Linked DNA regions of Neodiprion lecontei. The protein of the gene in region 1 purifies or fractionates together with the protein of each later gene. This does not show direct contact. Links are inferred from orthologs where the notes say so. Each region holds a gene or a part of one and is shown in the gene's direction. Other genes may lie near its edges. The genes, in order: sarcolemmal membrane-associated protein and FGFR1 oncogene partner 2 homolog.

Region 1 (16,627 bases):
AATAGAAAACAGAATGAAATGAAAGGGAAAGAGTCTGAATAGTATACTCTTGAATTGCAGAATATTTTATCTACAATCAATATTTATTATATCGAATATATTTTCATTGAGATACGAATGAAAAGAATACCATCGATGAAAATCGCAGAGATGTTGAACTGAAGAAGATTGAAGATTTTATAAATGCAGTAAGTTTTAACTATGTTTGATTTCACCTTACGTTCCTAAAAATTGAGGATTATTTTTGGTGCAGTATTTTTATCCAATCGTCAAAAACTTCATTTTCATCTGTAATTTATTTTGTAATGAATTCTTATTCGGAGAAGACAGGTCAGGTATTTTAATCATTTTCACTGTCAAAAGTTTGATTCTACAAGAACACAATATATGTATACAGAAGTATAGTCTTCTCTTTACCTGTCTTTATGGAAAAGGAAGAATTATATGTGGTGTTGGATGCAGAGAGAAAGATTCGTCTTAAATCTCTTGATAACGTCAGATAATAATAACTATCAGTTTTCCATCTCACATTTCTCTAATCAAATTAATTTATCAGGATATTCTTCATTGTTACTTGAAATCGAAAAAAACATTTCTCATACTTGTGTTTTTTCCGTTTCAATTTTTTTATTAAATGGTTAGAAAACGTTAGAATAATATGATTAGGGGTATATAATTTGTTTTATGTTGTAATTTATACGAAAATAGGTTCGCTTTCTGGGTATCAATATTTATTATAAACCATCGCTTGAATAGGTAGCAAACAATCAAGAATTCGCCTCGACCAAGATACATGAAACATTATTTTGTAAGTATTAATTAATTAGTCGTCCGGGGTCCAGATCCGGGAAGGTCGGAATCTTACTGTAAACCGGGTGATCGTCTAAAATGAGCCGACGTTGTTAATGGACCCTCTTCTGCAAATCCAGCAATCTCTTGTGGGACTATAGCAGACTCTTCGACTCCGGTACAGGGTCGACACATGCACTCAAGAGGTGCCTTGGTAATCACCTAAAACAGCAATACTGTTGTTGACAGAAAATAATTTCATAACTTAAGAGTAAAAAGTAAATCAATACATAGGTAGGTATACGCAGTGCATTCGTTCTACAAATCGAGCAGTTAAACACTGCGAAAAATTATCGCTTCTACTCATTAATGGTGCAGATTTTTTGGAGTCAGTAGACTTACTATTGAAAAATTTCGGTTCGTGAAATAATTTCAAATGCTATTTAATTTAAATAATTTTCTAACATATTTTATCTAGCTGCGTGTTCAGAATCTGTCAGTGCATATTCGAAGCTGGCGCGCACGGTCCGATTCCGTGCGTTCCCTACTCCAAAATAAAAACAATATGGCAGTACTCGAAACACTAAGAATCTAAGTTTGGATAACAATAATTTTTTCCTGTATTTATCTCTCGACATACGTCTTTGAATGTTTCTTAAACAGTGTACAAGCACCTCGTGATACCTGCGACGAACTTATAGCTGTGTTTAAATCGCTAAAATCTCACCACCTTTCGGAATTTTCTTTCGCCTGGTTTCGCTTTCGGACAGAACAGCGACACGCTCGCTTCTCTCTCGCCGCTCTCTTGACAGCACATGCAGCTTCTTTCCATTTGCCAAATTTTCGAACCTGACACCTACGATATCAGGTATTGTTATTATTGTTTAATTATTTTTAAACTACGATAATCTGTCACCCTTCAACTGTTTTTACTTCACCTAACGTATCATTATCCACAAATCTTGAGCGTAACCACTATGTGTATATCTGTTTACTTATGTATACAGAAGTGTCAATTCATTCTTTGGTAATTACGATCCTCTATATTTTTTCATTTATTCAGTTTATGAAATCTACAGGACCCGAAGACACTTTAAGTTTTTAAATTCTGAGGTTTACCCAATTTTTTTTTACCATTATTGCACTGCAATTTACTTTCAATCATTTTTAGGTCATTTTTAGAATTTAAATGTTATTTTGACGAATAATAGGATGTGGATGTTTTTCTTACTTGTAAGTAGCTGCTGCAACGACCAGTGCATGCAAAACTTGGTATTGGTTTCGGAAAACAGCCTGGATAGCGCAGAACGTGTATTACGGGAGTCACTTGACACTCATCCACCCCTGCGATTGTAGAGACGTTTCCACAAAGTAGAAACATCAGTGTAGCCAGTAGAGCTGTTGTGTAAGTAAATTGACATTATTTTTCACTACTCTCAACACAATATTTAGCTATTTTCTATTACGGAAATATCACACTGTACAAATTTATGACTAACTTGTATTTATTTATTGTCTTAACTATACTTCTAGCTTTGATAGCGCAGTTCGTGAAGCTTGTGCAAAATCTTCTGGATTTTGCCGCAGTGGCTAAAATTTCAATCGCTTTATAGCTTAGTTTTAATCACTGCAAATTAATCTGTTGAATTTATTCACTCAAATTTTCTTAGGTACGAAAGTCATAATATATCGATCACAACTTCACCAAAACTCAGATTACAATGTTTTAGAATATCTCAGAGATGAAAATCATTTTTATTACATAACAATTTTTTCATTAATGATGCTCTAGATTTCACACTTCATTTCCAAATACTACTCACAAATCATATTGAGATTGCGCAGACCGTTTCTGCATTTCATTGAGTCCATGGATTTCTGGTAACTCTTTAAATAAATTGATTAAACGCTATTCAATGTCATAATGATGAAAGAACTTTGATATTCAACATAAGTCTTTTGGACACTAATTTTGATAATAAAGAACAAAGTGAAACGACACGTAATTCATTGAAATTAACGTTACTAGTTGGTTTGTCGTAGTCTTCTCGTTATTTAACTTACCAAACTGACAGAAAAATAGGTTTTCAGTGCGATACATTTTTAGGCTCTGCTAGCAAACCACTGTGGCTATTATTCTTCGGTCGTGGCTTTTTATACCCCACAGTTAGCTCCGTTCAGCCCCTACTTTGTGACGCCACTCCCTTATAGAGGGGGGAAACATCTGTTGCCTAAAACTATGCTTGCCAATACCCTGTATATAGTTGTTATACATCCCTATAAAATGGAGACCTTAGTTTTCTCATGCTAAAAATTAGTATTCTTCTGATTTCTCTATAATTCAGTTTAATTCACGAGAAATAAACTGACCTCATTTAATCACCGTTTTCAAGAGTAAGAAATTTACATGGAGGATGAAAAACTGTAAGTATGCAGTGGCGTAAAGTATAAGTGCAGTTCAGTCAAGTGTGAGGTTCTCAAAAGCATCTAAGTCTATAACTCCACCAAAAAATCGACTATTTTAGTTCTGTTAGTTGAGAACCTTCTTAGCCACTTCACAAGAGACGTATCGCTGGACACCCTATGGAGCAGCACGAAAAAACAACGTCATATAATGCTTTTTCATGGTTCACTCTTAGCGATTGAGCCAAATAACCAGGGAAAATCTATTGTTGACCTATAAAGAGCAGTTCCAAAACCATAAATGTAATAGCATTCCTTGAGTTGTCTCATGTCTTGGCAGTTGCAAAATATTTAATCGTCTACACGTTACTGGCAGAAATCCAGTCTATCAATTTTGGTGGTCCTTTGGTTTATTATATTTCTCAAGATATACTTATATCAATGATCCCCTATTTAGAGAGCTTCTTCTTTTGTGCAATACGCTACGGTTGTAGTGCAAAATTGAGCTATTTTATTTGTGTTAATTTCTGGTCAACAGTTCCACATTCCAATAATTCTTTGAATACACACAATTTGGATTAGTGGTGAGTGCAGAAAAATTTTTCATCTAATACATTTAAAAAAATAATTTCATCTAAACATCAATGTATATAACTTGAGTAATTAGTTGTTAGTAATTTGTTGACAACAATAATTATTTTTTCTTATTACATGTATTTGAGTCTCATTATGATTCAGCAAATTCAATTGATAAATACGACAATAATTCTTTGCACATTCAATGCGTGCTAGTCAGTTTTAAAGTAAGTAGAAATTAATATGTTTTCTTCTACAAGACGAGAGACTTGATGATGAATTGAATGCTTTTCCAACATTTGCGATCATTCGATTTATATATGAATTAAAAAATTTAATTCTCTCAGTCATACGCGGTAGTCAATAAGCAGAAGTCTTAAATCACACTATTGTTGGCAGATTGAGCTAATTCAGAATTCTATATGTATATCAATACCATGTTCAATATCATTACTATGTTCGATGTCATTCAGGAATTCACTATAAATGATTATTATTAACTGATCAAACGTTTCAGGTAATATTAACATCTTGAAATATTTAACGACTCGGAATATAGGCCATGTGTGAATCAAATTTATTGCAATGATTCAGCCAAACTTAATGACGTACGTATAATTCAAAGTGAAGTTGAAAAAAACGAGAATATGTATATTGGAAAATTGTATTTTATTCGCATTATTAAATACAAGCGCAGGGTTTCGTTGAAGAACAAGGTATTTCAAGTCATAATGTTTATATTATATAATCAATAATGATACAGTATTGGATTGTAACAAAAGACGACGATTATTGGTATAAGCATGTAGTCCAAGTCAGCAAATCACGAAGTTTTATCTTGCGAAATCCCCGCATTTGTAGCATTTGCATTCGGCTGGCTCTCGTAGCTTGATTTCCATGGAACCACCTTCTTCGCTGTCCAATCTAACACCATCTGCGTCATAGCAATGATCCAGGAAAACATCTCGCTCTTTTAGGTAACTTTCACGACAGCAGAAACATTCCTAAATAACACACAAGAGAAGAAAAATTAGTTTGGCTATAAGGAGAGTAGATATCAATCTAACTTTGATCTCGCTTTATTTTTATCACAAAGTTATTGAAGCAACCTATCAATAATTACTATACTTTCTTTGTTTCGGTGTACCTTTAAAAATCCTGTGGTGGAGACGACGCTTGGCTGTACCTGCGAATTACAAAATCCCTCGCATTTTGTAACCGTAATATCACCGCCACACGTTCTTTTCAAACGTCCCAGGTCGTCATACTCGTCTGTAGTAAAAACATATTACCAAATGTAATTTGAAGCTTATTTAAGCGTTTCAAGTTTTACCTTTAGTTACGTGAATTTCTGTTTGCAATGTCTCACAATTCTCATCTCCTGACAGCTGAGCGATTACATTACTTTTAAAAAGTGCCATAATGGCTAGTAAAAAAAGGACCGACTTCCGCATTATTTAACTTATTTCAACTGTAATAAGATTATTTCTAAGATGTCCTAGACTCGCGTGCGCTGCAATAAGATTTTCAATGAGCTTTGTCAACGTTTAGGGTCAAAGTGAGGAGACGAAATACGAGAGGAAAGCTTTTATACATACTTTTCCCACCCCTGACATTACGCGTTGGGGAGTAAACCACCCACTGTGTCTTGATAGCCTAGTCGATCCGAAATCACTTCCAACTACATACAGCTCGAACGTTTTTTTTTTTATTCTTTTTTTTTAATTCTTTTTCTTTGTAATACATCAGTTTATTCGTATAGAGATACTTTGCATTATCCACCTAATGCTTTTTTTATGTTATGTTCCCCAGTAGGAGGTACTATCTGACATTCCATAGCAAATCAGAGTTTTACTATACTAAGTATAGAAGCCTTGTATAAAATTGTCAGCTATAACAATTGTAAAAGATGTAAGGACTGGAATGAAATTATTTTTTTATCCTTATATACTTGACAAAATTTAGTGTCTTTAGTACGTCTGTTGCAATTGAGTATCTGGATGCACGCACAACCTAAGTTAACTTAGGCATTGATACAAGTTTTACGAAAGTTGAAAAGCTCGAATGAGCTCGTGTTTCATATCACAATACCTCGTTGGCAAAGTATCAATCTCGGAAGGTAATTATTTTAGCAACCTGTAGATGCATACTAAACTTCACGTCGTCAATAAACAATCCAAAACAATCACTTGGATCATTCTTAGGTGAAAAACGTGGAATTTCGTGTTAAATTTATTTTCCCTTACTATTCACAGTATTTCTAACTTTCATCTCATATACATGTACACAATTTAGTAGTCAAGAATAATTTGAATAGTTTTCATGAAAATATCATTCTAAATCCATTGAATTAATCATGACCAGAGCTAAGAGATGTGATCTCATAAATCTATGTATAAAAAAAAATTTTCAGAATGGCTGAATTTTTAAAATCGTATAAAATCCATCATTTTTATTGTCAACTTCTTATGATATTATTAATACCTGTTCTTCAAAGAACGTAATTATCCATCAACACATTATCAATTATCTTCTGTTTAGGATGCAGTCTGCTAAAAATTCCCCTAATTAATTTGTTTTCTTCAAATATTATTTGTCGGTAAATTCCAGAAAAAATCCAAACGATACGAAACACTAAAATAGTTTGGTTCTATTTTGTTTATTTTTTCCGTAAAAAAATTGACAGTATTACAAGCGCCAAATATTAGCCTAGATATGATGTGATTAGTCCATTAGATAAATTAATTTCAGTATTCAATGATCATCCCGTGTATTTCCTGGACAATTATCTTTCAAATCATCTACATCGTCATATGCTGCCCCGCACCATATGCAATAAAAATATTGATCTCTTAGGTATTTGGTTAAAATTTCTAATTTTTCACTAGCTGGTATCCTGTAGTGATCATCTTCATTTTCATCTTCATCCTCTTCACTTGATTCCACTGACTCGTTGTTTTCAGAGTCTTTTTTCTCTTCTTCCACTATCGGCCAGTACCAAATTTCTACAGGTTTGTCAATATTATTTTGATTATCTAGCTGCTCGCAGCTGTTTTGACTTCTACGTAAATCAACCTCTATCATCTGCTCGGTTTTTCTCTGTGAAATTCTTCCTCGAAAATCATTGGCGTTAAAATTATCCTCTTTCTTCTTCCCATTTTTTGTTGCTGACGGTTTTTTCTTCGGTGCTCTGCCTAAGCCCAGCCTATTTGTCTTCAGATCAATCGAAATTGGCTCGCATATTCCACTCTCCTTCTTCCCGATTCCTTGCCCAGGTGTGTATCCCATTTTCTCCAATAATTTAAAACCTGAATATAAGTAATAGTGGATATAACAGTTTCGAAAATAGTTCAAGTAGGATATTTGTCTAGCTCCAAGTGTGCAGAAATATAATTACAATGATTTGAGCTTGACCTTTATTGTCACTAGTGATGGCAGATGCTAGTCCTTTATCTCTCGTTTCCTGTTCTATGACCCGTACAGACACATTTTTTTCCTTTAATCGAGCTTCAATCTCTGCCTTCTTTTTTAAAAGATCTAATTCCCGTTGATCTGAGCGACGACGAGCGAGAATTGGAGTGCAGTGTTCTTCGGTAGCATGGAGAAATTTATCAGACATGTAATCTTCATCATCGGACATGATTTATTACCTACCTGAAAATTGAATACAGATAAGTAGAAATGTAAAAAATTCGCAACCACGTTGAAGACTAAACCATTGTTGTGACAGACCTGATGAGTGAACATAACGTACCGATAAAAAAATTAATTAACAAGTGAGGCTCAAGATGGTCGTGACAAAAGTTCCCTCATATGTAATACCATAAACACTCAAATTTCTTCGATTCTTCCCCTTTTTTTTCGTTAATCTTCTGTCAACTTGCTTTTGAGGTTATCTTCAATTTCTACTGATAATGATTTGACCAAGTTATTCAAACGATCTTGTCACAGGATATTTTTCAAAAAATTTTACTCGCGCTTCTCCATTTGCACGTAAGATTCGCCTAGCCTCGCATTCAGGTTGATTGAAATACTTTGAGAATATCCATGTACGATGAACTCGCTCCGGTTTATGTGGGAAATTATGCATACAAATGGTCATGTGATATTTTAAAAGGACGTACGTCACACATACACATATTCATACGCAGATACATCCGACGGTCGATAAACGGAAGAAACACCGGAATCGGAATTCGGACTGACTCTCAAGGAACAAAGTGAATTCGGACCACTGTGTTTCCGCAGTCCACCCGTGTACAATATTTTGTCTTTCAATTGTTTATTTAATTGCTCGTGTAGTCTCTTATTCCCATACGTGAAGCGTAGAGAACTCCGAAGGCGATGCGATCAAATCACTAATACCATCAGTACCGAGTAAAGTTCACGGGAGTTCAACGCAATTGTTGAGAGAGCGAAAAAAATATTCTGATTCTGTGTGTCTGTAGAGCAACATCTCGATCTCGAGACATCGGAGATTTCGCGTAATTATCGTGTTAAAAAAGTGCTTTCTACAACTACACCTTCGTCGCTGACCCCTTGAACGTTCGCCGTGTGTTACTTACGTTGCATTACCATGTTGAAACTGTGCCTGACAAATAAATTATATCAAATCTTAAAGTAACAAACACCGTTCACTGTTCCGTGTTTTAAGTAAAGTATTTTCGTCTTGATACCAATAACGCAGAGCTGCTGCGAAAGTCGAGTGTGATTAAACTTGGGTGATATAATTTGACAAGCGTAACACAATACGCCTAGCGAGTTCCTACCGAGTGATGATTGTCCGTTTTTTATGCCGAGTTATGGCACGCTATTGTTAACGCCGATGAACCCTACGAGCCAGTTTAACAGCTATTTTCGTTGTGTGGGCGTGTGCAGCTTCTATCCACACATGGACTCGAACCATGGTACATGGTATCCGAAATTTTTCGAACATACAGCTTAAAGACCTTTCACCTTAAACGAGTTGATAATGTTATTGGGCGATAAGTTTCAAGCCATCTGGATAGGCGAATGAACTGAGAAAAAGTGACATTGACGTTTATGTAGTGGTGTACACAATATGAAGATCAATATTAATCATTGTAAAAATAATTGACGAAGATATAAGCTGCTGGAAATCTTATCGTGCATCCAAATGTGAAAATCCAAAATTAACACCAAACTAAACTAATCTCAACACTTTGATGAAGAAAGTGTTCAACGTACGATTAACCTACTGCCGTAACCACTAGCCAATTAATATATTTCTCATAGTTATATCCGTTAAATAAAGTTTACAATAGGTTATGGTTATAGCTAGTGGGGGTTGGATTCAAAATGCTACTTATTCGCCGACCCCGAACAATTCCAACCTGAACACTAGTAACACGCCAAACAACAAGATGGCTGCTAAGGCAGTTTTGATTTGTCGGGCAAATTCCCATCCATTTCACGAGCGCACCGTTTCGCTCGAACAACCGGTTAAAATTGGTCGTTCCGTGGCGAGAGCTCGAGCTACGCCGAACAATGCTATATTCGACTGTAAAGTGCTTTCGCGAAATCACGCCTTACTCTGGTACGAGGCTGGTAAATTTTATATGCAAGATACCAAGAGTAGTAACGGAACGTTTATCAATAGCCAAAGACTTAGCATAGGTGGCGAAGAATCAGGACCCAGGGAGGTGTGCTCTGGTGATATTGTACAGTTCGGAGTCGATGTTATGGAAAACACGAGGAAGGTTACTCACGGATGTATCGTCGCTACTTTAAAATTGTACCTGCCTGACGGTAAAGAAGCTAAAGCTAGCGTTAGCACGTCGGTTGCGAGTCCTACGAGTAGTGTATCCCTGGAGGATTTGTACAAACTTAATCAATTCTTGCAAGAAGCTAACAGACGGGAAGAGGTCCTTAACGGCAAACTTCATCACCTCCAAAGACTGGTAGAAACGACAAGACAGGCAGCCGATCAATCGTGGAAAGCTTTGATTGACGAGGACCGTTTATTATCGCGTGTCGAAACTGTCGAGAGTCAGCTAGTTGCTTATTCGAAGAATTTTACAGAGGATAAGATAAGGAATGAGCTTGTTAAACTCCAAGAAGACAAAGCACAGTATCAAACAGCGGCTAAGGAAGCTTTGCAGAAAATATTGCAGGAGAAGTTAGAGGTGACACAAAAGTTTGCCAATCTTGAAAGGCAGCTTAACAATACCGAAGATGAGTGTCAGAGTTTGCATGAAGTATCCAAAACTACGCAGGCTGAGCTACAGGAACTAGCAGCTAAGTATACCGAGGCCCAAACTAAAATAAGCGAATTTTCTAACAAATTGGTAGAGAGCGAAGACAAGATGAAGGACTTGGTAGCTCAAGCTGAACAAGAAAAGAAGGGACTGCTAAAAAGGATCAAGGATCAGGCTAGAGTGGAGAAAATCTTGCAGTCAAAACTGAGGGACTTCAGGTATGACTCTACTACCATTCACGAGAAAGTGACTGCACTTAGAAAGCACCTCAAGACTCTGCAAGATATGAATTTGGACCTTCTTACCGACGAGGCCCAGCTTGCCGTTAACAATATATTGTACAAAACAAAGCTGATGTCTATAGAAGACTTTGATTATAATGAGGAGTCTAATTCTTACGCGAACAAAATTGAGCATGACAATCAAATTAACTCAAACTCTTGCAACAAGAGCAATATCGACGTATCATTATCAGAGATAGATAAGATTGTAGGGTGCATCCTGGACCCACCTTCCAGGAGAACCCTGGTCAATGGAAACGCTAATTTAGATAATTTAGACACCAGCGTAGAGTCTGACAATAACTCTGAGGTTAGCGAAGACGCTTGTACCACCACCAGCGACGATGGCAGCGAAAAATCAGTCGTCGAAGTGAAGAGAACCAGCGAAGAAAACAGCACACCAACTAAAGCTGCCGGTCAGCCAGCTAGATTATTAGAGGTAAGATTTGCTTGCGAAGAAAATGGTGAACCTTTAGAGGTTCATTATGATCCTGTTGAACAAACCGGAGAGGAGTCCGAGGTTTCGAGTTTGACAAGTGATTCAAAGGATATTAAAAATTCAGCAGAAAGTGAATTCGAAGACATTGATAAATCTTTTGAAGTATGCGATAAAGAAAAGAAACGTGAAAATAGTGAGGAGCGTGACGAAGATGAAGAAGAATGCGGCGAGGGTGAACATTTAGATGGAGATTATATAAAGACTTTAAAACCGATATCGAAAAACGAGTCTGCACAACAAAGTTTACAGTCTAAGGAATATACTCTTCAAACTTTAATTGGCTCTTTGGACTCCTTGAAGGATGAAGATAACTATGAGGCACAGCAATTAGCTAATAAGGAGCTGGACGACCTTAGAGAATGGCTGATTCACGAGTCTAATGAAACTGTAATAAGTAAACTAAAGGAGTTGTATTATCGTGCTAAAAATGAGACTCAACGTATTCAAGAAATAAACGAAGAACTTGTCATTCTTAAAGAAAAGTGCAACGCTTGTACAGAAGAGAATACAGAACTAGTTAAAGGATACGAAGCTCTTAAAGCTCAGTGTGGAGATCTGTTGAATGTTACCTACACAGTTCCCATACAATACGTTGCACCAATCGCAATAGCATTTTTATGGATGCTGTTTGAAAAAATATTCTAATGTTCTCTAACTCTGTACATAGTTATTGTTCATACTATTATATTTGATTTTTTATGATGTCACATGTTAAGCATATTATTATGAGATATAGTATAAAGTAATTATCATAATAACAATAATAATAATAATACCAAGCATTACAGGATACTCCAGCATATTGTTTCGGTTGCAATTGAGAACCTTTTTTTATACGAAAAGAAAACAAACATAATAAATAAATTAACAGTGTACATATATACATATATTATATTTAACTCTAAAAGTCAAGGATGTGAAGATAAGTTTATTCGCTTCCATTATGAGTAAACATTGAATGGAAGCTCAGCATCTTACCATTTCAATTCAAGAACCAGAAAGAAATCAAATATTTATATTATTTTACTTCTATTTATATCCTTTACATCTTCAGTACACATAAAAACATTCAAGCATTGTGCCAATTCTTCGGAGTTGGAGATGTGTTAGAAAAATATATAGACAATACTGACGTACCGTATAAAAAATGAATAACCACTTTGCCAATTTCAATACCATATCGTTTTTAACGTATAAAACGTATTTCTACACTGAAAAAAAAAACGACATGCAAATTTATCGTATGTATCATTGATTATTATGCATTTTCATTTGCAAGTAATCGTGATAATGTATATTGGTAAATAAAATAACTAGAATGCAAAATTTTTTATAACTTAGCACGGAGAATCTTTTATACTCAAACTAAGTGAATATTCAGGAAAATTCAAAGATTTATGCAAATATGTAAAATTTATTCTCTACTGTACTAGCTGATATCACGCACTGAATATTGCCTGTGGAAAGCACTTGGTTCTGTTATATGTTAAATTTTATTGTAATAAATACATTAATGCAATGTTAATTGTTAGCTGGTAATTATGTTCTTGTTATTTAAATTTTCACAATATGGTTTACAGAACACCTCAATGTGGTATTGATCAGTATGGGCCTAGAGTTATTTTCATATTGGCAATAAATAAAATAATGGTCTCTCTTAATTATTCGTCGTTTATAGTAGATTAAAAATTTATTATATTTTCTTATCATGTTAGTTTTTGTAGTGTGCCATTGATTAATTCGATTCTTTCCATTTTGCAAAAAATAACTGAAAGATGTTGCACTATCTTTCCAGCGTAAAATGCAGCATGTTGTAGAATGAAACCAATTTGGAAGGTTTGAGATAGAATATGACGATAATAGTTATTAAATTCTGTACATATTTTGTTGATATAATATTAATACCTATGTAACAGTCACTATATAAAACGAAATAAAATTAAATTAATTGAAATTTTATTAATCCGTCTTACTATATCCTCTTGTAATTTGCACTGTGCTATCGCTTTCAATGTCAGCTTAAGCAGCCTTTAAAGTCAATTATTAGCCCTAATTAATTCTAGGAAGCATTGTTTTTTTAAAGTAGATATGAAATTAACTTGGATAAAAATGCGTTGAGCGAAATTTTTTTAATCATATACCTCTTGCATGTAATAGTTAAAAGTACAAATTAAGTATACGCATAATGAAACTAGTTGAAAAGTAATGAGGGATTAATTTTTTGTTGTAAGTAGTATAAATTTAATTATTGTATTGCATATAGTATACAGAAATTTATATCAGTACTTTGTGTTTAATTTACAGTCATGGATACCTAGCTGGTTCTAGTTCACTGAGTCATAACTAAAATCATAAGGACTTCCAATGCCATGCGGGCAATAATATTCTTGACAATAACTGGAATGTGCCGAAAACACTAACACATGGCAGGTGGTTCCAGTTCTAACGGAGATTCTTCTCCAAGTCGAGTATGTAGAGATTTTCTGCGCAACGTTTGCCACAGAGGGAAGCGATGTAAATATCTTCATGAAAGATCAGAAGATGACCCAGCAGATGAATATACTTTTTGTCATGATTTTCAAAATGGGATTTGCAATTGGCCGGGATGCCGATTTTTGCATTGCACTGAAAGTGAAGAAAAACACTTCAGAGCAACTGGTGAATTACCACCGCGTATTTTATCGAATTTGAAATGTAACAATGACAAATCCGAACTACCGTTATGCAAGGATTTCATCAAAGGCAGCTGCCAAAGAGTCAATTGTAAGTACAGGCATTACAAGAAGGAAGAACCACAGCATCCTATGGTCCCTCCGCCCCATCATACCGTTACGAGACCTCAACATAATTTTAATGGTGTCAGTAATGGCGAAAATCGAAGATATGAAGAAGAAAGAAGGTAATTTACTTGACAGTTGGAATTTAAGATTCAAAATAAGTATTACGGTTGAAAAATGCATTTGACAAGCAACTCTTTCATTGGTCTACCATAGTTATTTCTTAATTGATCAGTAGTTGCAGTGTGAAGAGATAATGTACTCTGACTGAGCAGAGAGCTAAAGTAGGTTCATGCATATAAATAGACATTCTATTACATTAACTATCACACTGGCTGCCTTCTATCGTGGATAGAACATGTTGTTGCTATTTAGATGAATCATGCATTAGACATGCATTGTAAGCATCAATCATATACATACATCTGACTGCGGTATATTCTGTAGCAAACAAGCAAAATTAATGATCAAGGCTATTTTTAAACTGATGTTTTTATCACTACCTCTGTACACGTAAATATTTACAAAGAGGATATCAAATCATACTGTACAGCTTTGGTTTCTTTGTTTCTGGTTTTTCTTCTTTTCAAGAAACTATCAATTTTTGAAATGTAATAAATCACAGATTACAATTGTTTATATATCATAGTTTTTATTGATGAATATGCTTGATTACCAGCTACCACTGGCAGATGGAGGACCCGCATCCACTGGTCCACAATAATGGCTACAATCCTTCTACGCATCCGCCTGATTATTTGGGGCCTCCTGAAGCAAAACGACGAATTGTCTCTGGAGAAACTATCTTGCATTTCGAAACGTCACCTCTGGTAGGACAGCATCCAACCCAGCCTGTAACTTCTAGCTATTACTATCCTGTAATCCCCAGAAATGAAGCTAGAGCTTTTAATCTCGAAGATGAAAATGCATTGCTGAAAAAAAAGATTGAGGAACTAAAAAAGCAGGTAAAGTTCGCAATATAATGTAATACAACTTTGTGGTGTTGGTCAAGTTTCTGTTTCATAGCTTTTAAAAGAATTCAGGCTTATCAATTTATAGTGAAATTGAAAAAATGACTCATGGAACATTAAACAATTGGTTTTAAGCAACTCAATTATAATACAGAGTGACTTTGTTTTATCAAAAATGTCGTTTAAAGTTAATTCTATACTCTTCAAATTGCAGGTCAACGATTTAACAGCGACAAATGAATTCCTACTGGACCAAAATGCACAACTAAGAATGTCTGGTAAAAGGACAACTAATGTAACTGCTGTAACAGTCCCAGCAGTTACGATAACAAACACTGTACCTCCATCTCAAGCTCCAACACCTCAACAGATGGTTAATGCTGCTGTAGCAGCTGGAACACTGCGAACTGTTACAGCTAGCGTTGCAACTGTTCCTGTGAGCATAGCAACAGTAACTCCTGTATCAATCGCTGCTGTTTCCATGGCACCGGTGTCTATTCCTCCACCGATTGTCACGATGGCTCAACAAACTATTAGTATGAGTGGTTCGGGTCCTCAGCCTACCAACCAACAAGCACCGAACGCTCAGCAACCAACAAACTTACCACTATCAATATCTGGTCCAACCGCACCACTCGTTTCTTATCCAATTATGACACAAGAACTGAGACCTGTCTTACAATAAAAGATTATTCTTTTATTGAAGTTAAAAAAACACCAACTCATTTAAATACTGTATTAGGGAGCCTAAGATCAAAACCATGATTCGTAACATCCCAGCTAAAACCGTATAAAATCAAAAGATTAGATGACTCTTGACCCGGCTAGGTGGGTAGTAACGGTCAAGAACGCAGCTGCTTCGTGGGGGGCCATTTCTGCTATGTCAAAACAAATAGGTAGACAGATGTATAACATCCTATCTGATAGTGAAAATGTACATAGATTTTGTTATTTTACTTATAAAATTTTTGGTTTAAGACATTTTGCGCGCAGCTTTTTACCTGGTGGAGTTTTCAAAAATGGCACCAAATTTAGCCAACCTCTTCCATAGCATCCCAGTTCGATTTTTTTAAATCCTTTTGTATGGCTACTGAGGTTACGAAAATACTGTTTTTAAACATTTTTAATACTGACTATAATGCCCAATAAACCAGATGCTGCACTCAGTTGGTCTGATAAAAATTTCTTCTATATCTAGGCAACTTATTTTATCATTTCCAACAAATGGGATTGGCTAAATTTGTTGACATTTTCAAAATGCAAATGCAACGTCTGAGGCGGTGCGATTTTTTTCTGACCCCAATTTAATTACAAGAATAATTTTCAGACGGCATGCTATACGTAATTTTTTTTCTCGTTTGTTTTTTCAGAATGGTCTCGTGGACAGGCGCTGCGCTATCGGCGTATGAAAAACGTGTCATTGGTATTTCAGGACTATCATGTAACTACATTCCGGAAATCAGACAAGATATTATCTAACAGGTCGGCTCAATTTGTTCACATTTTTGAGTTCAGGATCATATAATAGATTTTATACGGTTTTGGCCAGGATGTTATGAGTCAAAAATCATGGTCGTGAGCTGCCGTAATATACGTGTGTTCTACTTATCGTAATGATCAAGAAATATAAGCCTACGAATAGTTATATTTTATATACAAAAATAGATTGCTATAGGTACTTTTATTGTCCCAGATACTACTAAACAAAGCTTGCGAAATTTGTTAGCTTATTGGTTGTTTTCCCTCATATTAACGTAGCAGGCTTCTTTTCATATTTTCAGTAAGATATTTTTCTTCTTAGAAGTGGTAGAGTGGAGAATTCATTTATCATTGATTGTTAAATGTTTCTAAAGCAAAATATTACATATTTATAGAAAAGAAATGTCTAATTTGATACAAGTCTAGAAATTCCAGACAAATATAATAAATTGTGAAAGATGAACTGTATACCAATCCCGAACAGGTGTAGAGCCTTGAAAGTTATCGTGTGTACTTTGGTAAGTTCGTTGACTGAAGAATATAAAGACAGTTGCCCTAATGGGTTTTGGTGTGACAACCGAAAATCGTCGTGCGCTTGCACCCCCTGAGATGTTCCAACGGTAGAGTTGAGAAG
Region 2 (16,115 bases), on another chromosome or scaffold:
AGATATTTCATAACAGCGGTACACGAATTTTTTTTTGCAGGAACTGAAAGTTAAACAAAAAGCTGAACTAGACAGGTTGAAAAGAGAGAACCTAAGTCAGTATGCTATAAAAGGTTCAGAAACGGATTGGGAAAGTGCTCTTTCTGGGAAAAGTAGTCGTGCAAGTCTCATTTCTGTTAAAACTGCAGACAAAAGAATAGTTGACGATGATTCCAAGGATTTTGCAAAAAGCGGGCAGAAGAAAAAGAAGAAACGCTTCTCTAAGTAATACTTCTCGAATTATAAGAAATTACAGATGTGCAGTGCATGTATATTGATGAACATAAAGACACTCCCTCAACCTTTTTCAAATTCTTTATTGCGCCAATACGTATTAACAATATCATAACATAGATAGCAGAATGTAACTATTCAAAATAATTATTATCAACAATGTACTTTATACATTGGCAAATCAAGTTTCTTTCATGCTGTATTGATCGGGACAAAAGCTTGTTGAGTAATCGATTTTTGTTTGTGTTCAATGTCCCTTGTGCAGTGTGATTTTTGTTTTGATGAAACCTTTGATTGTTACGTTCATTTTTATATTTGTTATTGTTTTGCTTTGTCTTTTCAAAATGTTCTAACCTATGTCTGCTGTCATTATTTCTCGTTGTAGATTTATCATTAATGTTACAGTCATCTGGGTTTGTTAAGGCCGGAACGCTTACAGGAATGTTAGTATCAACTTTTATTTTTTTAAAAGGAACTTCCTCAGGTCCATCATCTGTGGAAGCAAAATAGCTACTGTAAGAACAATGGCAAGGTAACATTAGATAAAAGATTTTTAAAATATCGTGAAAATTCTAGAGTTATCTAATAAGATAAAATATAAACATTACAGCATACTGTATTACATAAACTTACCTTCGTCAGAATCTGTGCCATAATCTGCTACCAGACTCAACGAAAAATTTTTATTTGCCTCGAGGTTCATGGTTAGATCCACTTCATCACCACCAGAAATGTGCCCTGTACTTCTTATGTCCACTTCGTTGTCTGAATCCTCAATCAGAGAATACTCTTCATCACTCGTCGATTGCCGTAAGTTTACTTAAACATCAAGATTCACAGTATGTTCATAATTCAGTGTATGATTTTCTAAAATTGAAATTATACGCATTTTCCTTGAAAACTTTAATATATTCATCAAAACTATGACTTACAAGTGCCTGGAAACATTTGCAAGCCTCTATAAAGCTGCGATTCCATAGCCTTTGCAGGTACAGGTAAGGCACGTGGTCGTCTACGAGTTTTGCGTCTTGTAACTTTCTTTGTTTCATTCTTATGAATTCTATTGATTTCTGTTATTGATTTCTTCTCTCTAATTACTTCATACCGCTTTTGTTTCTCCAACGCTTCAGCTGCTAGATGTTTTATGTTTGCTTTTGTTGGGTATCGCCTGAAATCATAATTATGTTTATGAAATTTGATAGTATCAAGATTAAGAGATTATGTATCATTCAATATTTGAACAATAAATATTCAATGTAGCTACCGTTTGCGTTCTGCTATCCAGTTTTGGATATCTTCTGGCGTAGATAGATTCTTCATTCTATGATAAAGGCCTGTAGTGTGTTGCATGCTGATGTGTTTTTCAACGAGCTTTGGATGCGCTGAAAAGACACAATCGTCTATTCCACAAACTCGATGTTCCCCCATGTGCCGAGCAAGGGATTCCTCTGATGGGAACTCCCTGTCACATACCTCACAGTAATACTCGTGTTCTTCTTCCGAGCTCTGATAATTTTCATCTCTTTCATCATAAGCAGATGTGTCAGCTGAGTAGAGGGTTGCCTAAAATTCATAACTTGAAAAAATTATTCTCATTTAGTAAATCCTTAGGCGAATTAAAGTGCACTTGGAGTATAGTACTGACAGAATCCCCCGAAATGTGAAATTGCCTTAGAGTAAACAGGCTCAAGTAACTTCTCTTTGATGTAATGGCAGATGACTCAGTTATAAAAAAATGAAAAGATCGAGTAGTTCTGTAATCGCACTATATTTCAGTAAGTATTTCTAAGAGCTTCAGAGGTTCAAATATCTACATGAACTTTAAGTGATTCGAAAAGCATACCTAACTTATTTTTTTTATTTATACAGGACTGTATTCATTGCTTCAAAGTAAAAATTTGTGTTCTTTATTTGAGCTCAGATAATTGTCTACAGTATGTATTAACTGTAACAATATGCTTACCATTGAATGACTCATTTAATTCTTTTATCTGGTAGGCTCATATTATTTGTTTCTGAATGATGCAAAACTTCATAAGATAAGTTACGTATAATGCTTAGAAGAGCAATACCAATAAGTTGAGCGGTCAGTATACAGTAGTTACAATAGAAATTCAATATTTTACCAGCAATCAAATACTGAGATTAAAACGAGAATTACAAAAATAACAAAGTGTTTGTCACACTTTTAAGGAATCTTTTTTTTTTTATTGTACCAAAAAGTACTTTATCTTCAGCACAGCGAAGGTTATTATTCTTGCAGAGATTAGACATGCATAACTGATTCTTACTGTTGTATTAATAATGTTGAACACAGTATGTTTTGCAAGAAACTTAAAATACGATTATATTAGTGGATTATTATATCAGATCAGGTAAATTTACAATACGTGTTGTTCAAAAAACTATGATATCTTTTGAAACCTCAGAATATTATAAGCAAAAGATTGGCTACCCAATATTATACTGTGGTAAATTATATATTTGGTATTTCAGAAACAGAATGCTCCTACTTGGGCAATGTGTATGTAAAAATTATCCAAGTTTTATAGTAGTGTCTACATACAATGTTGATTGTCATTAAAGTAAATTGTTTCATTTAACAACAATAAGTGTACTACTTGTTAGATGTGCCGAAGAGAAACTTCTTGTGCAGCACTTTCAATTTGTGGATAATACAGAGTCAAAAGGAACAACATGATTACAAGTTATAGAAATATTTATTCTTACATTACGTTTTTTTAATACAAATTTCCTTTCGCTATTTATCATTTGCTTGAATAATATTGGGCCAGTACAAACAGTGAATTGAAACACTTTCCAACTGCAATTGATAAATTAAATACTACATTCAAATAAAAGCTACATGAAATAAATTTACATACATTACAGTGCTAAAAGCTATCTAAATGAAATGACTGCAGGCAATTCATTTAATCTAGAGTAATACCCAAAAATCTAAATAATTAAATCACAAAAACAGAATCCCCTCAGAAATTAATTTTACTATGTAATATCAATAAATATAGCTTGGAGCACTGTATACTGGCCGCAGAGCAATTTAGGAGCATATTAATTCAAAAGAAAAATTGTCTAAAGGCCAGTGTAACTTTGATCGTTACATATATAGGTATCTTAGTAAAGTCTTATGCATTTCCTTTAAGCAAGAGGTGTAAGAAAAACGTAAACAGGGATTTAACCAATACACTAGATGCTAATCAAATATTAGGAACAAAAAACGTCATTCAAGTCTTAAGTTGGATTTGAGAAGGTAATTTGCCTATACCTCTTTTTAGATTGGTATGTGCTATGTGTGCTCTTGTGCATCAATAATTTTCACATAATAAACAAAACGAACTATAATAGTAGTTTCTATAGTAAAGTAAATTTTTCGAGCTTTCAGAAATAGTTCGTTACTTCATTGAGACAATGAATATTGAATACTAAAAATATAAGTTTGACAATGGATTAACTTATTAATGGTTAGAAGAAAGAGGAGTAGCCTAAAGCTTAGGACTGAGCCTTTTCGCTGGAAGGCTGCGTCTCCTCCGCTAGCTTCATTTGCTCTGTTTGCTCAGTTGAATCGACAGTTATCTGAACACCCTTGGATTCAATTGAATTCTTATCACTTGTTTTTTGACCACCCTGTAACCAAAGTAATCTGTAAACTGTTGTGCTCTATTTATCTGTCCGAAAATTTCTTTAAACATCATAACACAATTGAAAAGTTAATGGCCATATTTGCGGCAAATTTCCCATTAAGATTTCTGACTCCTGCAGGTGTTCCAAATTTGCTCAGTTTCTATTCGGAGCACTCTGTGTACGATAATCAGTATGTAAAAGCGTCTTAAAATTCAATGCGAAGTTAACCCATGCTGAATTAAAATATTCTAGAAACTTATTATCAATGAATACCTGTTCCGGATTCTTGGCCAAATATTCCGTTTTAGCGTCACGAATCATTCTGGTAACTTTATTCCGCAAATCTTTAAACTCTTCCCATTCCATTGCGTCTTTGTTTTTTTTAGCTTTGGCGTATAGCTTGTTTTTCTTTTGTATTTCGCTACGAATCTCATCAGTCATCCATGGCTTCTTTAATTCTAATTCCTATGTACCGCAGATAGAAGAAGATCGATAAATATACAAATAAATGAATATATAGGTGAAAATTTTGGTTCAGCAGAAGTTATACAGACGGTTTTGATAGGTAACTAACAAATGATAACTGGTAAGATGAACCTATTAACCTTTGAGAGGGCCGGCATTTTCCCTTTGAAACTGAAATTTTTTAGAAGTATGATTTATGTAAATAAATATTTAACACGTTCGATGGAGTTTCCGAGTTATCTGCCAAATCCTAGAGGAGCCAGGCTGGCCTTCTAAAGGTTACTTTGATATATGTACGTCTGACATGATGATAATTAATCGTCTTCTTTCTTTCCATGTCTCTCACCAGACAATAGACAGCATGACTGCTTCTTATCTCACAGATGTGATATAGTTTTGGATAGCAATGAAATACATTTCAAAAAAACATTAGCATCTGTAATCGCAAGCCAAATTTTAGCTAATCGCGCATACAAACTAGAGCCATGCATTAGTGTCCATGTCACGTTTAGACATGGAAAGAGCCACGGATGCATGCGAATAACCACTTGGATGAATAATTAAGATGATAGAGAAACTGCGGTAAAACTAACAAGCAATGGACAACTTATAGCAAGTGGTTCACAATAAAGGCCAAACTTCATACTTATGCCTGTTTTGATTGGCTTTTGTAATGTGCAAAATTGATAAGAAATTAGTTGATGAATTATTCAGAATATTCTGTCTCAGCACATGACATTGCTCGACAATTTGTCCTCGATGCATACGAATCAGTGCTGTATGATAATTAAGTAAAAGACATCAATCGAATACCCAGACTTTATATGAAGTAACATTTACCTCAAGTTTGCTGACTTTTTTCGAATTATTCATTCCTTTACCCTTCATGTTAATTCCGCACAGCGGCAGACGGGCACGCATGTGCGGCAAACCTTGGGATGGCAGCATGCCTCGAGAAGTGGGTCTCATGGGAGGTGGACCACAGGGTCCCATTCCCCTGGGACCCATCATTGGCCCCATCATCATCGGTGGCATGCCGCGTATCCTGGGGCCAAACATTGGCATGCCGGGACCAGGTAATGGCATACGTTGCCTCATGGGGCCGAACATCGGATGCGGCGGCATTCTGAGCGGCATACCAGGAGGCGGTAGACGGCCACCGAACCGTGGAGGAGGCATGGGACGCATCCCGACCGGAGGCATTCGAGGGCCGAGCATTGGCCCCCTATTTAATGGGCTCATAACGTTCAAAAACGATCCGGAATTACGCGGTAACTGATTCTGAGGTAGACGTTACTTTCCGTCAGTGCAATGTTTATCGCGTGGGAAAGCTATAGGTTAAAACGCGATAAATTTACATGTGCGAGATCGCAATAGAAGGCAGGTTTTTTTTATTGTTTTTACTCTGTGTCCCCTTATTCGCGTTCACTATACACGTGCTCGAATCTTTAATACATCAAGTTCACGAAGTTGCCTACAACCGTTGATCAAATCAAACTGAATCGCAAAAATTCGATTCTCACAGGTACTGGACTCACGCGATGGCCATTCAAGGATGTACAAATTACTGGAGATTGGTGAATAAATGATCGCCCTGCTGGCGATGTCGACAGTTTGGCGCTAGCTTCGCATCGCGAAACACAGGGACGTCGTAGCAGTTGTCTTGATCGGTTGACTTTTAAGACAACTTGTAGAGATATCTTAACAAAGTTATCTTGAGGTATAATTAGTCGTGTCGGTGAATTTTCTGAAGAGACATCTTAAAAGGCAACTTTTAAAAATTGGTGTTCACTAGGATATCGTTAACGGAACATTCTGCGTTAGTTTCAACTTTCGGCGCCTGCCTAAAGCGAATGGGCAAACTGAACCATTGGGTAACCACTCTGTACTAGAGTCTCTGCTTCAAAGGGAGCCAGCCGTATAACGGTCGCGTGCAGTGTGTGACAATAATTGTGTGGTAAGTTATCGACATTTCAAAGAATAGCGAATAAATATGCATTCCGCAATGCCAGCATTATAGAGAAATATTTTTCACGGACGGGACGGAGTTTCTAACTCTATGACTATTGTCTAATTCATGTTCCATGTCGATGTTGCTGGCAGTTTTTGGAGTTTTTTCTTCTTGTCGCACCATTATTCACGTATCTTCGAATTTGTTCAATAACTTATTTTCAACAAATGGTTGAAACTATAGCGAAACCTAATAAATCTTTTAATTCAACTGTTCTTGCTGTCAACTTAGGCGACTAATAGTTTAGAAGAGTGAGAGAAACACATCTTACCCGTATTAATCCAACTTAACCTAACTTAACCTATCCGTCAAAATATCGCGTCATACGGTTTTAGTTTACGTACTGGTGTAGGTATAGCAATCATATGTGAACTCGGCAAAAGAATTACAGCTATGTTTCAATCAAATCGTACTTTGTGAGGCCTCAAATTATAAGCTGAAAATTTTTCGATAATATCTACATGAAAGTCATTCGTAACAATCAAATTGCTATTGTGTTAAATGTACGAATTGTAATTCGCTTTCTCTGTTAAGTTTTTGTTATATATGTGTTATAGATGTCGATAACTTTTCAACAAATTATGTTGGATGCTGAAAAGCTAGTGGGACGTATTTCGGATCAAGAAAATAATACGGATAATTTAATATCAGATATACAATCAGTATGCAGCCAAATCGACAGTATGAAACAAGTTAGTAAATTACAATTGAAAACTTAATGGTGAAGATAGTACACTTTTACATTTACTTATGAAGCACATTCTTTTTACTGTAATATCTTTTTTTCGACATTTAGTATCAAGAGGAAGTTGAAATCCTTAACTCGGAAGCACACCATAGACCTCACTTACAATTGATTGCTGGAATTCAACAAGAGAATAAGTATCTGCGTGAAATTCAAGCAGAGAATAAAGAATTAAAAAATGCTTTAGAGGATCATCAGAATGCTCTTGAATTAATAATGTCAAAATACAGAGAACAGACATCGTCTTTGATTCGCCGTTGCAAGGTGGATTTTACATCTTTCCACAATTCAAAGTATACTCAGGTAAGTTTGATATAAAAGAAAAAACTCACTGATGAATCTGCATTGGTTAATAAACAATGCAATTTCCATATAATATTATCTAAATATCTGACGTTGTTCCAACAGTTAATCACCAGCCAAGCGGAAAAGATCAACGAGATGGCGGCAGTGATGAAAACTGCAGCTGCGATCGATGAAGAGAATGATATAAGAGGGAAGGAAGTTTATTCTCGGCTTAAGGAAGAGAATACTGTTTTGCGAGAAATACTCGATATAGCTAATAAGTATGGTTCTCTGGATAAAGATCCAACGATGGACGATAAAACTGTTCAGACAGAGCCAGCATAAGAAAAGTATGAGATAGCATTCTAAATGTGTTCTGAATAATATCACTTGCATTGGTTATCTATGATAAACGGTAAATTTCAAAGATGATTGCGCAATGTGTATGTAATTTATGTGGTAGCTTGAAACTTTAACACAATGGAGATATAACGAATCAAGGACACAGGTCACTTCTGAACTAACTTGGATGTCGGTGGCAGGGAAGACCAAGTGCAGTGGTATGCGTGCATAGATGTACCAGCCATGCTAAGAGGGTTACGGCCAACTGTCAATCGATTGCTGGAAAATACTTTGTAGCTGCATGGTAAAACGTAGTTCAGGTACCGTTTACACCCGGAAAAATATTCATTTCAGTTACGTCTGTGAATTGGCAATGTCACTGGTTTGGATAGCTTTGTTCAACTTCCTGATACATCTTGAAAGCTAGTATTTTTGAATTAGACTGTGAGAAAGTTGAAGTATGTAATTTTATTTTGAAAACGTGAGATCCTTGCTTTTTTCTTCCCTTGACGATTGATCGGAGAAAGGTTATCCGTGCAGTAAGAACAGGCCCGCTGAAGTGAATCACTACTGGATTTCAAATTCTTGACCATCCCACGTCTGCTTTTAGCATCGTATATTATTATCTGGTTGCCAAAATAAATTCATGCATCATTTTAATTACGCAGACAAGTTTAATGGTTAACGTCCTCGTGTTGAACATAATTTGGTATAACTCAACTAGTCAACGTTATTGTACACATGTCAGTTATATTTAACCATAAGTTTATCGTATGTTCAGCTATCATCTGTTATTATTTGAATCTCTTTTTAACCTGTCAAATATCGACATAATTATAAATTAACAAATACCAGGCACTGACCCTATTTCGAAGGTAAAAATTTCAACACAACATTAAAACAATATAGGTATGTAACAATTAATTTTAGATGAAAACACTTCGTACTTATGATCGTAAACAAGGTAACAAAATATTTATACATTATTAAACAACTTTTGAAATTAAAATATTTAATGTATTACGCTACTGCAAATGCGATGCATTCGTGTATTGCGGGTTACGTCCCTTTAGGCGGAATTACACAAGTTGATTCAAATTTTTCACTATTCTAAAAGTGGATTTGATTTTCGTATCTAGTCTACATGGCTTTCACTCCTAAAAGGGATGATTACGAATATGAAAAAAACTATGTCGAAATATTTTAATGATCAGCTATATTTCTGAAAACTGATTAATCTCATTCGGCGTTTAACGGACTACAAATTAGAACGCGCATTGCGTCAGAATAGCGATCAGGGCGGGTGACAACTGTTATGTAATAATTATTGTGCCGTATGGAAGTAACAAATGCATATTCCATAAAATGTGCAATTCGTTTATTGTGCATAATTTTTAATCAATCAATTTTATATTTTTCGACCCATGATGACCGTATACGCATTCCTTTAGTGTTAACTATGGGGATAACAAATAAAATTTCGGAAAAAAATTTCACCACAATTCACGATCTTTGATATTCGCATGTCTCAGCAGCAGAAGCGGTATATGAAGTTAAATATTCTATGTCTAACGTATGTACGCGTTGAGCAGAATTTTGGAAAAAGTTCGAACTCATTTCTGGTAGCGCGGCGCTTTAAAATAGCTTCCGATAAAATAGAATTGTATGCCTCTGGTGCGTTACTCCGGCATAACGGAGGCTTTGCAATCAAATTATATGTCGAGCAGAAATATCGCAACCCGAAATCGTCAGAGTGCTTGAACACCGACGGTGAGACTGCTGGAAAAATCTTTGGTCAATATTAGTTATAATTAGCGATTTAAAATGTCAGAATTAGGTTTAATCAAATAAACGGAAAACGAGAAAACGCACAAATGACCGCTGTGCCTCGAAAAATGGCTGCATGCACATAAAAAGTCTGTACATATCATATGTGTAATACTTACAGTGCTTACACCTTCGCTGCATTTACATGTATACAGGTATTTTACGCGTAACCGTATAATCGCCATATTCTCAATAAGATAGAACTCATAGAGCGGCAGCACTTTTAAAATGTTCATTTATTATAGGGCGTAGCCACTCCCTACGGATGTTCCCAAGTCCCGTACCCCTTGTATATGCCTGCATGTAAACCTATAGGTGTACACCATATAATATATAGATGCTAAAGCAGTGTTCGTGGAATGACATACGATATGTACTACCTGAAATATTTCTTTCCGAAAATTTAACGCCCTGTTTCATAACTGATCGTCGATGCAACGAATCGGGTATTTTGGCGGGCACACAAGTTTTCTCTCAAATTAACGAATGTACGGAATTTTTGTCGTGGTATAAACGTTGAGAAAACGGTCAACTTCCATGAGGAAATTTAGCTGTCCAAGATTAAAACGGTCGCAAACCTTGACTACGATATATCTCTCTACGGCCAATTAGAGATAAAAGAACAATTAGAGAATCCACCGGCGACAGAAAAAAAATATATATATATTTTCCTCACGAGGCCTGTAAAGATAAAAAATCCTTAAGCCGCTTGCAATTTCCGCTCTTTGTAAGTTCGAGGCAGTAAAGTAATATCTGAAACGAGATATAAATGCACAGTTTGACGTTTCCAGTAGGAGTTGACAAGGGTCGGTTTTAGTGACTGTAATATTTGGCGCGAATAGACATGCAACAAATAAGTGTTGTAAAAATCTCACGGGCTGGGAAGGGTTAGGTGGAGGACGAATGCGAATTACCGTGACAGGGTTGCGGACTTGCAAATAAAAATACTGCCGGGTTCGAGCGTCTAATCCTTTTTATAAATCCTTTAAAAAACACAGACAAGTACACACATACGGAATAACCTGTTATGCAGGTAGAGCTGTGGATGGTGGAGGGTTTCGCCGCAATAAGACCCATCATAATGTACCAGCGGGCAGTCAGCTATAGTGTGGGAACAGTCAGTCCTGCACCGAGTAAAGGGCGGTTAGATGGGCGAAGTTAAACGAGCCCGCTGCTGTCGTCGTCGCTGCTGTTGCCGCCGTTGCTGCTGTTGCTGCTGCTGTTGCCGTTGCTGCTGCTGCTGTGCGAGCGAGCGCCAAATAGTGCAGTAGATACGTCGCCGCAGAAAGAGAGAGAGAGACAGAGAGGGAGGGAGAAAAATAAGGAGGGAAAATCTCGTGGCCGCACGATGCACGCATCTATGCGCCGCGCGCGGTGGCTTATTCTTGTTCGTTAAGGTTCGCGGGCGATTGTAGAAGTTTTGGGATACGTCTAGCGCGACTGGCGCGACTGCACAACCGATGCGCTGTATAAATTTTACGTGTGCTTATGTTTATACGCTTGCAGGGGCGTACAATTTTTCAATAGCCAACTATATATGAGCCACGATATCGCTTTGGCTTTAATTTTTCGCCGATCGGACATAATTAGCTTTCAAGTAAGAATGGTTTATATATTCCGCGTACGCATATTTATAGCCGATATTAGACTGTATACTTGAACAGCTATTAGTATGATTTATGAGCGTCGTTGTAAATTAAAGATCTAAAACATAGATATGCGGAAATCTATTGCAGTTTTTTAATGAAAACTGCACAACTTAAATCATGAATTTCTCTTATAATATGTACATAGATTTTTGTTCGAGACGATATCCAAGGGCTACACTGCACGTAGTTGCATGTATACTATAAATTTAAAATTCTTTAAACTAGCATTAAGATGAACCCAAGGCTCGCCGTTGCAGTTTATGTATGTAAAGTTTTCGGATAAATCATCGAATTTCAATACAGAGGTTTATTACATCGTAGTCTCGGTCCTTCGTATATTTGGTTGATTTTAACGCTACCTCAAAGTCTCGGAATGAGAATTATACGGCTGTCATTGATCGAAGGGCTTTGCGCAACCGTGCAATATATCGATTACGTTATAATATTCTGACCTAAAATTCGCGCGATAAGCAACTGCCGGGCCCTCGCGCGTGCAAGAACGCCTATCAAAGGCGATGTGGTTCTCCACTGTGAATATAAAATGGCGTCGACCTCGCACATCCATACATACATTACACGCGCGCACGCGATAGGCAAAGTTAGCCACAAAATGTGCCATGCGTTGTACGCATACACCTGCGCAATGTGTGCATAATACTGACGAATAATTAATCGCGCGTTATTACGAAATTCAGGCCCTTCTTCGCCGAGTACATCGCGACATGTGCACGCGCGCACTTTGCGCTTATACGTATAATCGCGACGCGTGCATTTACGTGCATCCAGCTACCTAATTGTACATGTACACACTACTGATATACACGCGGAGCAGCAACTAGACAAGAAAACCGTGAATAGATGTTGTGCACATAAACAGACGGTGTCGTACTCCGTTGCATGGTGTAACGTAATAATAAACGTACTCTACACAAATTTTGCTAAAAAGTCTCGAACAGTGACGATGATTATGCGCACGAAGCGTATAATGTAGGTACTTCGTCGCGTCGACGGTGTTTTTTGGGGTCAGTTTGAAATCGGGCACGCCAACATGACGCCTACGAGTGTACGTGCGTACCTTTAGGTACACATGCATCGTACCTACACACATAAAAGTTACTCTATACGTGTTTCTCGTATGTGTATATATATATATATATATATATATGTACACACATATACCTAGGAGAAAAATGACACGCACACTTTTAAAGACTTTCGACGCAATCGCGTTTCTCGGCCCTGTACATTTATTCGCTGGACGACCCTGGATGTGTGGTACTATGTATGTCAGTATACGCATGGCATGCGAGTATAGGGCGCGGACTAGCTGCTGCTGCTAACTTGATCTAGGACCAGCACGGAGCGCGAGCCCTAGACTGGCTAGACGGGAGGAACATGGTGTCGGTGGAGAGGGAGAGGGAGGAGGCCAAGGTGGCAAAGTAGGAGGAGGAGGTGAGGAGTAGCTGTGCCCAGGGCAAGCGCATTTCGTCTGTTAGGTATGGCGGGCGTCTATCGGAGCTAGACGATGGTGCGCTGCGGTGCAGGGCTATAGCTAGGCTAGTTATGGACAACCCTACTTGCCAAGGTCACCCTCCCTCTTTTCTCACTCTTTTTTTACGCTCTTATGCGATAGAAGGGTTTTATAGCTGCGTGGCCTTGAGACCAACAATGCCGGCGTGTTTCCTGTGCAGCACCTGTTACCGCGCTCTTTCTGTATTTATACCAACTGGTCTCGCGATGTACAATTTCTTCTTACCGTTAAATATACTACAATACTCGCCTGATCGCTAAGCCTCGCCAATAATTCTCCTACATTTAATTTATCCGTATCGACCCACGGCCACGACACGCAGACCTGCGGACCGTGCAACGTCTTCATCCGTGTACCGCGGTGAGTACGTCGGTCGATGAAAATAATTAAAACAGTAAGAAAGTTTCATCCGCATTGTCAATATTTCCATTTTCGTTCGCGTCTCTGATAGATGATAAAGTGTGATTCTTTGCGGTCAACTCGGTACACTCGTGACTTGTCGGAAGTTGACATCGTGATAGGAAAAAGGAACTGCATGGGGTTGAGTCGCACGCTGAACAAAAAAAAAAAATAATAGTAAAACGAAAGAATATATATATACGTGTTTCGAGGAGTTGCGTATATTCTTTCGTTTTACTATTATTATTATTATTATTATTTTTATATATATGTATATATATGGCATGTATATCGAACAAGTATCTCCGACGAAAAATAGAGGAAATATTCTGTCAATAAGTATCGATAGTAGAAAAATGTGCTATTTTGAATGACGTCGTCGCCTCACGAAATGTGAATGACTGTCCGTTTAAATGTCCCAGCCTCCGTTTTAACGGCGAGAGAATGAAATCATATCACACTGCGAGGCTTAACGAAAAGTGATGTATAACGAAACGAGTACGTGTTTTTCATTTTCTTTAAATCTCGATCAATGGAACTCGAAATACGTGCTAGAGTTTTTCTACTTTGCAAAAGTCGTTGAACCGGGAACCGTTGCGAATAGAAACCGGTATGGTTACGGCGGTGCGTACGGCGGTCAATTACACCCAGTAGCGAGTAGCGGATAAGTTGTAAATGGTTGGGGGCTGGTTGGAAAATTGCATGCAGCTTCTCAAAGTTGCCAAGTGACTATAAGCCCCGTATCTTCTTGCGATCACCGCTGAATGAATATAACTGGTACACACGTGTGGAGTTTCACCGGGTGATCGCGTTATAGAAATGGCGAGTATACATTACACGACACGTACTCGATTATATACGTATCTACTGTATGTATGTATATACATATTCCTGTATTTCGTTGACGTGGAGAAAATCTACGTAGACCGGGTGATGCAGTTTCAGAAAATCATGCGCATACATGTGGCAACAGTGCTAGGGCTAACATTCCACATGATCAGGACCGGTTTGCGGTTGCCGGCCTTCTAACACGAGTCTAATGCAGATAAACCTCCCACCCTCCCGCCCTCCCTTCCGCCCGCGCCATAGGGAGGTAAGAGGGCGACTAGGGCCGGCGAGTCAGTCTGGCGGTGGGGAAGGGGGGAGGAGGGGGGGGGGGGATTTGTCGCTTATTTTTTATTGCAACCGGCCGACGCTGCTGCTTCTGCTGCTTTGGCTGGCTGGCTGGCTCACTAGCTGCATGGCTGCTTGCTCGTTCGTTTGCTTCGCCTAGCCATGATCCATTCGTTCCTATATGCCAGCGATGTCTGCCAGCCGTGCTGTGTATTGCTATATATGTGTATATACATATATGCACTCCTGCATACGTAACTGCTTGAAGTCGACACACCAAATTCTTTGATTACAACTATCTTGCCTGAATGAAAAAAAAGAATGAGAAAAAATACATGCACATAGATTTTATACGTATATACGTTATAGCGGTTTGACTCGCTACGAAAAAATTTTGGTAGTTCGTACAAGATTCTACATTTATACGCGCGTATTGTGACGTATATGTGTTGTGTTATGTATCGTGAATTTTTTTACGGGACTTGTTTATAGTTGTACACATATGTCTTTCAAGTCCGTCTCTTATGGTTGTTGAAAAAAATTCAACGGCTCTCCCCCCCCCCCCCCCCCCTCTCCGAAGCTGCGAATGAAAAGTATTAATTCGCATATATCGGAAGTCAGAACCGAAATATAAATAATACGGAGCCGATGTGTTGAATGACGTTTCGTAACCTGACCTCCACGTCGGCGAAACTTTTTAGTGGAATCTTGTATCTTTATTATGGTTTTTAACATTTGGGCAGTTGTGTCCATTAAAAACGGTGTGATAAATTGTGCTGCGGGCATTGTACCGCTGCAGTAGCGTAGATGTATATACGTATATACATACGTATAATATTATAGTTCGGTTCTCTGCTAAATTCATCGAGGGTTGGATGAAAAAAAAAAAAAAAAAAAGGCTCGACGGACATAATAGATGCGAAATCTTTCTATAGAATTTGGGCTCCTTTTCTCGGTCCAGATAACGGAATACCTGTCGTTTCTTTGTTAAGCGAACGAACCAGACAGACGCACACCCTCTCGAAAACTGCACCTATATTATGCAACCTATGTGTGTGTGTTTTTTACGGTACGGCGGTGCGACGAGGTGTTTCGTTTGCTTGGTCTGCCGGCATATGCGCTTACCCAACAACCTTCACACGCCTAAAACACCGTTATGTAATATTGCAGAAGCAGCGAGGCGAATTAGAAAATTCATGGCAAGAACAGCTGTTGTTTCATTCCCCACGTCCGGAATACAAAATTCAATAGTCATCTAGCTGGTTGATTTTTACTCGTATAATATAATTCTATTCGTATATTACATATAGGCGGTTAACCATATACGTATATGTATGTTATGTTACACGATTGAATTGACAATTGTACGAACGTATTTCGTACAGGCAACGATGCGCGTTATACGTCCGTATGATATACGAGTTTCTTGGTTATTTTTTTCTTGCTCATAGGTATATTCTCATTCGCGGCCCATTTAGATGGCGTAATTAAAACTTTTGTCGTACATGCCATTTTGCCTTGAGTTTAAGTACGAGGATGTGAACAGGAATCACGTTCGCCTAATTGACCACCTCGTTTATCGAGAAATATATGCGGAATCATTCGGAATGGTGGGCGACTCAACAGAGCCGCAAGCTGCAATCACTAATGCAGCCTGTAGCCCGCACATGTAACGTTCGAGTAGTCGAAATTTGAACGATGTTTCACAACCCGCTAATTATAATAATAGAACCGTCAACTTTCTGCCAGGAAATGCAACACTCGCCTTACGAACGTATCTAACGGAAAGTGTTGCGAAATTTTTGCCGACAATTTCTCTCTCTCGCTCTCTCT

What was found.
Region 2: the proteins of sarcolemmal membrane-associated protein (region 1) and FGFR1 oncogene partner 2 homolog purify together in Drosophila melanogaster (affinity purification with western blotting; 3 studies listed by BioGRID, with this or other methods). This does not show direct contact. The link is inferred for Neodiprion lecontei from reciprocal best matches to the Drosophila melanogaster genes Slmap and Fgop2.

What each region holds. Positions count from the first base shown.
Region 1 is NC_060263.1:38,395,389-38,412,015, reverse strand, and holds sarcolemmal membrane-associated protein, read left to right. Parts: upstream 1-8,695; 5' UTR 8,696-9,056; coding exon 9,057-11,411; 3' UTR 11,412-12,725; downstream 12,726-16,627. Other genes in the region: bursicon, read right to left, coding at 862-1,011, 1,517-1,645, 2,021-2,187, 2,854-2,890; partner of bursicon, read right to left, coding at 4,602-4,772, 4,916-5,040, 5,102-5,222; G patch domain-containing protein 11, read right to left, coding at 6,523-7,076, 7,183-7,408; zinc finger CCCH domain-containing protein 10, read left to right, coding at 13,190-13,665, 14,223-14,508, 14,729-15,199.
Region 2 is NC_060265.1:2,763,630-2,779,744, forward strand, and holds FGFR1 oncogene partner 2 homolog, read left to right. Parts: upstream 1-6,198; 5' UTR 6,199-6,337; intron 6,338-6,493; exon of another isoform or gene 6,494-6,743; intron 6,744-6,948; coding exon 6,949-7,083; intron 7,084-7,187; coding exon 7,188-7,439; intron 7,440-7,544; coding exon 7,545-7,766; 3' UTR 7,767-7,771; intron 7,772-7,884; 3' UTR 7,885-9,807; downstream 9,808-16,115. Other genes in the region: RNA cytidine acetyltransferase, read left to right, coding at 41-268; nuclear fragile X mental retardation-interacting protein 1, read right to left, coding at 408-766, 907-1,092, 1,206-1,441, 1,538-1,836, 4,189-4,380, 5,221-5,622.